Linked DNA regions of Canis lupus familiaris. The protein of the gene in region 1 binds, or shares a complex with, the protein of each later gene. Links are inferred from orthologs where the notes say so. Each region holds a gene or a part of one and is shown in the gene's direction. Other genes may lie near its edges.

What was found. Proteins that work in one complex are often made in the same cells at the same time.
Region 2: the proteins of tubulin alpha-1A chain (region 1) and C9H9orf116 are in contact, whole or in part, in a cryo-EM structure (PDB 7UNG), measured with the Homo sapiens proteins. The link is inferred for Canis lupus familiaris from reciprocal best matches to the Homo sapiens genes TUBA1A and PIERCE1. Residues at the interface, in NP_001257328.1 of Homo sapiens: Met1, Arg2, Gln15, Asn18, Ala19, Glu22, Cys25, Leu26, Glu27, His28, Gly29, Ile30, Gln31, Pro32, Asp33, Met36, Pro37, Asp39, Lys40, Asp46, Asp47, Ser48, Asn50, Glu77, Gly81, Thr82, Tyr83, Tyr224, Thr225, Asn228; in NP_001041730.1 of Homo sapiens: Tyr28, Pro35, Gly36, Arg37, Phe38, Trp43, Phe44, Arg45, Gly46, Tyr47, Arg48, Thr58, Ser59, Asn60, Gln61, Ala62, Tyr63, Gly64, Arg66, His71, Glu72, Pro74, Phe77, Tyr78, Pro79, Asn80, Ser81, Asn82, Lys83.

What each region holds. Positions count from the first base shown.
Region 1 is NC_049248.1:41,237,248-41,239,450, reverse strand, and holds the end of tubulin alpha-1A chain, read left to right. Parts: coding exon 1-45; intron 46-489; coding exon 490-1,470; 3' UTR 1,471-1,681; downstream 1,682-2,203. UniProt on the Homo sapiens protein: Tubulin is the major constituent of microtubules, a cylinder consisting of laterally associated linear protofilaments composed of alpha- and beta-tubulin heterodimers.
Region 2 is NC_049230.1:51,280,974-51,285,111, reverse strand, and holds the start of C9H9orf116 (UPF0691 protein C9orf116 homolog), read left to right. Parts: upstream 1-1,255; 5' UTR 1,256-1,272; coding exon 1,273-1,418; intron 1,419-2,523; coding exon 2,524-2,602; intron 2,603-4,138. Other genes in the region: MRPS2 (28S ribosomal protein S2, mitochondrial), read right to left, coding at 335-460, 589-628. UniProt on the Homo sapiens protein: Microtubule inner protein involved in the attachment of outer dynein arms (ODAs) to dynein-decorated doublet microtubules (DMTs) in cilia axoneme, which is required for motile cilia beating.

The sequences.
Region 1 (2,203 bases):
GGCAAGGAGATCATTGACCTTGTCTTGGACCGAATTCGGAAACTGGTATGTTTATTCTCAAGAATAAAGTAAATAAGGATCTGAAGGAAGACATTTGAGATACGATGTTTTGTTTTGTTTTGTTTTTCATTTCAAATGCAAAATTGAAATGTAATAGAGTGAGGTGAACTACTCCTTTACAGTTTTTTTTTTTAATTCAATTGAAACATGAACTACTTGGGTATTGTTTTATAAATGTTAATGCAGATATTTTTAATTAAGATGCTTAGGAAGTCTAGGAAGGTCTACATGTATTTAAAAGCATTTCTTAAAAAAAAAATAAAAGCATTTCTTAAAAAATAAAAATAAAAATAAATAAAAAAATTAAAAACATTTCTTGTCAAAATAAGATCTATATTGTTGGAGTTGTATGAAAAGTGGAAATCTGTGTACTTATGATGATATAGCAAAGAGCAGTAATAGGTTTTCTCTATTCCTTTTTTCTAACAGGCTGACCAGTGCACGGGTCTTCAGGGCTTCTTGGTTTTCCACAGCTTTGGAGGGGGAACCGGTTCTGGGTTCACCTCCCTGCTGATGGAACGTCTCTCTGTCGATTATGGCAAGAAGTCCAAGCTAGAGTTCTCCATCTACCCTGCCCCCCAGGTGTCCACAGCTGTAGTAGAGCCCTACAACTCCATCCTCACCACCCACACCACCCTGGAGCACTCTGATTGTGCCTTCATGGTAGACAATGAGGCCATCTATGACATCTGTCGTAGAAACCTCGATATTGAGCGCCCAACCTACACTAATCTAAACAGGTTGATAGGTCAAATTGTGTCCTCCATCACTGCTTCCCTCAGATTTGATGGAGCCCTGAATGTGGATCTGACGGAGTTCCAGACCAACCTGGTGCCCTATCCCCGCATCCACTTCCCTCTGGCCACATATGCCCCTGTCATCTCTGCTGAGAAAGCCTACCATGAACAGCTTTCTGTAGCAGAGATCACCAATGCATGCTTTGAGCCAGCCAACCAGATGGTGAAATGTGACCCTCGCCATGGTAAATACATGGCTTGCTGCCTGTTGTACCGTGGTGATGTGGTTCCCAAAGATGTCAATGCTGCCATTGCCACCATCAAGACCAAGCGTACCATCCAGTTTGTGGACTGGTGCCCCACTGGCTTCAAAGTGGGCATTAACTACCAGCCTCCCACTGTGGTACCCGGTGGAGACCTGGCCAAAGTACAGCGAGCTGTGTGCATGCTGAGCAACACCACAGCCATTGCTGAGGCCTGGGCTCGCCTGGACCACAAGTTTGACCTGATGTATGCCAAGCGTGCCTTTGTTCACTGGTATGTGGGTGAGGGCATGGAGGAAGGAGAGTTTTCTGAGGCCCGTGAGGACATGGCTGCCCTGGAGAAGGATTATGAGGAGGTTGGTGTGGATTCTGTTGAAGGAGAGGGTGAAGAAGAAGGAGAGGAATACTAAAGTTAAAAATGTCACAAAGGTGCTGCTTTTACAGGGAAGCTTATTCTGTTTTGAACATTGAAAAGTGCTCTGATCAGTTAATTTGTATGTAGCAGTGTATACTCTCATATATAATTACTGACCTATGCTTTAAAACACGACGCTTTGTTACAGACTCAAGCTGTCCATTTCTCTGATGGGTTTGAATAAAGTATTCCCTGTCTTAAATGAATTTAGTTTTGTGTTTTCTATTTGGGTGTCTGAAATTCATGTACTTAGTTCTGAGAAAAAAGAATAACCGTTCACTCTATCTTATACATGTACTACGACTTATTTTAAAATTTACTATATTATAAAACTTAATCATAAAATACAAAATAGCGACAAATTACCACTAGATAACATCCATGCTCTTCTTAAATTTTAACTCCATTATATGCTAATACTTTTTAGAATTGATATCCACTAATACACAAAGGTCTGGTTGCTTTGTTAGTCTCATGACTAACAAAACGGTGAATACACAGGACACCTGGGTGGCTCAGCGGTTAAGCGCATTTGCCTTCAGCTCAGAGCATGGTCTTGGAGTACTGGGATCGAGTCCCACATCGGGTTCCCTGAATGGAGTCTGCTTCTCCCTCTGCCTACATCTCTGTGTTTCATGAATAAATAAATAAAATAGTTTTAAAAACGGTGAATATTCCAAACGCATTTATCAGGTCTTAAGCATATTTTTATGCATTCTCATCTTGGC
Region 2 (4,138 bases), on another chromosome or scaffold:
GGCTTCTGAGGTCCTTCTGCGACGGCCCAGCCCGCAGAGGAAGGAAGGTCCCCATCAGGAGTCCCGGGAGGGCCCTTGCAAGGAGCCAGGCCGCACGTCTACCCCCCCCACCCGCCGCTGCAGGTGCAAGTGACCCCTGCCCCCAGCCCCCAGCCCCCAGCCCCCAGCCCGCGGGTCTGCTGCCTGCCGGCCTTCCGGGGCCCGCTCCCCGCTGCTCCCCGCTGCTCCCCACCCCCCAAGCTTCGCACTCGGGACTCCTCGTGGCAGACGACTCAGCCCCCGTGGGAGGGCCAGGCGCCCCCTCCCCCCCCCGCCGCAGGGGAGCCTGCCTTACCCGCGCTGCCCTCCGGCTCGCCGACCGCGGGGATCGCGGCGCCTGCCAAGGTCCTGCCGCCGGGCCGGGCCCGCCCCGGGGTCGCCGTCCCGAGCAGAGGCGGCCGCAGCGCCCGGGGCCAGACACCTGCGGGGAGAGCCGGCCGTCCTCGCGCTGTCCCCGCCCGCCCACCCCGCTCCCCGCGGGCCCCGGGCAGCTCCCGCCCGCACCCCCACGCCCGCCGCGGTCCCCGGGGCCCCTCCGCGCGCACTCACCCGCGCCGAGCAGCCGGGGCGCGGTCGCGGCGGGAGCCATGGCGCGGAGGACGACCCGGCGGGGACACGCTCTCGGGCCGCGCTGCTTCCGCCCCCGCCGGCGCCCCCGCCGCAGCGCCGCCTGCCGGCCCGGAGGTGCCCCTGCGCGCCCCGCCCCTGCGCGCCCACAGCCCTCGGCCCCGCCCCTGCGCGCCCCGCCCCGCCCCCGCCGCTCGGCCCCGCCCCGCCCCCGTCCGCGCGCGCCGCGAGCCCCACTTCGGCCCGCCGCTGGCCGGGAGTCACCGGGGCGCGCCCCCCGCCCTGCCCCCGGCTCGGCCCCGCAGCCCGCACGAGTCCCGGCCCCGGGGCGCCCTCCTCACCTCCGGCCGGTCTAGCACAACCTGCCGCTCTCCCCAGGAGCATCCCGGAGGACCAGGCGCAGGTGGAGTCTGCCCTGAACCTCCGGGCGCCGGGCGGCCGTGCGGAGCTGGGCGTGGGCTTCCCGCTCCCCCGGCCTGAGCCGGCCCGGGGGCAGATCCGCGCTCGCCACCCCACCGCGAGGAGCCGCCACGGTCGCCGGCCTCCGGGAGCGCGGCGCCTTCGGGGCGGGGCCGCCCGGGCAGCTGACCCGGCCGTCGCCTGGCAACGGGACGCCGCGCCGCCTCTCGCGGCCTCCCACCCGCCGCAGCGCGGGAGCCCAGGCGCATGTCGGAGCCGAGCCCCCGAGAGTGCGCGGCGGCCGAGGAGCCCCCCGCCCCCGCGGGGCCCCCGCCGAGGACCAGCGACTACTACTGCGTGGACGAGAACCTGCCCGTCAGGTTCAACAACCCGGCGTGGTTCCGGGGCTACGGGTGAGGACGGATCGGGTCGGGGGCCACCGGGCCAGCGCCGGGCCTGGAGGGGGCGGGGGGCTCCCCAGTCCCCAGCCCGCCCTGCAGCCCAGGTCAACGGACTTGCCCGCGGTTAGCACCCAGGGAGCGAGGAAGTGCCGCCCGAAGCTGCAGACCCGCCTGCGGGGGTGCTCGGGTCACTGCAGGAGGGGCGGGGTGGCCAGGCAGCCGCACCCAGCCGCACGCCTCTCCAGCTGAGCGCAGTCTCTGCAGAATCCGAATCCCGCAACCACCACCCCACCCCCCCGTAGCTGTTCTTGCAAAGCCTTAGACCCAAGTAGTAGAACACCCGCCACCACACCTGCCCTGCCCTCCCTCACCTAGTCTCCTCTGCAGGCCGGTAGACCAGATCTGTTAGTATTCTTGCTTTCCAGGAGAGACTGCTGAGGGTGGAAGCATAGCATCCTGCCCCAGATCTGGTGGCATAAGGCACGGCTGACATCCCAACCACAGCCTGGGCTTTAGAGACTGTAGGCATGTTTTCTGCCCAGGGCTCTGAAAGTGAAGGGACCCTCCCACCCTGGGGTGGCAGGGTGTGGAGGCTGAGCCCTGGGTCCTGACCTACCCATCTTCCCCGGGAAATGACGGTATGTGCCAAGCCTCCACCCCGGTTGAGGTCTGCATTTGCCCTCCAGGAGTTCTTTTTTTTTTTTTAATTTTTATTTATTTATGATAGTCTCACACACACACACACACACACACACACACACAGAGAGAGAGAGGCAGAGACACAGGCAGAGGAAGAAGCAGGCTCCATGCACCAGGAGCCCGATGTGGGATTTGATCCCGGGTCTCCAGGATCGTGCCCTGGGCCAAAGGCAGGCGCCAAACCGCTGCGCCACCCAGGGATCCCCCTCCGGGAGTTCTTTAGGGCTTTGGCCTCCCTTGGGGAAGAGCCAGGGTGGAAGTGAGCCGAGGAGGCAGGGAGGCTCATCGTGCCTCCCGCGGCACCCCACCTTCGGAGCCTCAGCACCAACCTGTGGCATTCCCAACAGAGCGCCACCAAGTGAATATTCTAAGACTACAGGCTTGGGCAGAATTGGAGTAACTGTTTCTCATCTGCCAGGACCAAGGAGCCTGTCTCCATGTACAGGACCAGTAACCAAGCTTACGGGAGCAGGGCCCCCACCGTGCATGAGATGCCGGTAAGCCAAGCTTGGAAGCACCTGTGTGTCATTGGAACATCTCCAGGAGGAGGCTGTGACCCTGGATTTCTCATGAGGGGCGGTGGGGAAGGGCCCAGATTTCCAACCTCACAAAACTGGAGGTGGCACATCAAGTCCTTTCCAGACAGAGCAGAGCGGAAATGAGTGAGTGAGCAAACTTAGCGATGGAATGTGTCAAAGATGGAAAAGGTGTGTGTAGACTGGCTTGAGACGTCCCACCCCCTCTGTCATCTTAAGGCCATGAGTTTTGAGGCAGACAAGTGAACAGTTGCTTTCTTTCTGGAATAATACTTGATTTTAATGAACTTGTGGCCTAAAGAGACAGGACGGGCCAAAATCACAGGTGGCAGGAGGACAAGGCATCCTCTTGGCGGACAAGGCATCCATCCCCACGTGGCTGGATGTGGGGATCTGTGCACCTTTGGGGAATCCTCACCCCCTTCTGGAGGTTGATGTCACAGTCTGGAGCTCTAGAACCCCCTTCTGAAGCCCCCTGGTGTCTCTCTTGGGCCCAGGTGAAGGGCCAGGCTGACCAGCGTAAGCATTCCCTGGATAACTCAGGACAGCAGGGCCACCCACTTTGGGCTGATGATGCTGTTGTTTCTTTTGAAATACTCATCATTTAGAGATCTGGCCAAGTTGCTCATTTGCTTGTTTCACATGGGAGATACAGCCCTTGTGAGGAGATTATTTATCTAGAAAGTTTCTAAAGCATTTAAGGGTCACTCACCCAGAATCAAAATGATTCCACATTTTTCCCAGGATCAGGTATTAACATGAAAAATACCAGCACACTCAACTCACTAACATGGGTCCAAATGTTTTACTTTTAGAAACAAGACCATTGAAAAAAAAAGTTTCCTAATTTTTTTTTAAATTGTGGGGGTTTGCCCCTCGCTGGTCTTAGCAGGTGATGGGCCGTGAAGCACTAGATGCTCTGCAGGCAGGGTCGGAAGGAGGTTCTTCCTGCTGCTAATTGACGGGCTTTACCTGCAGACTCAGGTCAGGATACCGAAAAGCGGGCTGCAGCTAAAGCTGGTCAGTAAGCAGCAGGAAGAACCTCCTTCTGACCTACAATCTTTTTTTAAAAAAAAAAGAAAGAAAAGAAAGAAATGCACTGAAGACATTTATTTTTGCTCCTGCCTCCTGCCAAGCAAAAAGAGTATCAGGTGATCTTGACACGAGGAGAGCTGAAGAGCGGGTCCACCTGTCCAGGGTAAAACACCTAGCCCTGGCCCTGTATGTCAGAAATCTCAGGGTCTCCCCAATGACGCTGTGCTGCTGGTCCAATCACCACCCTGGGTGCCTGCGCACACGTGCATGGACTCGGCTGTGCTCCCCACCGTGCCCTCACCTCACTAGGGCAGCGCCTCCCCATGCCCCTGGGCTGGTGGGGTGTGGGCATCAGAGGCATCTTAGAGCTCTACAAGGGATCTGAGTGTGCAGTCGGGGTTGAAACCCACGGATGTGGAGTTCGTCTCTTCTTTACAGAAGAGAAAAGTGTAGTTCAGAGAG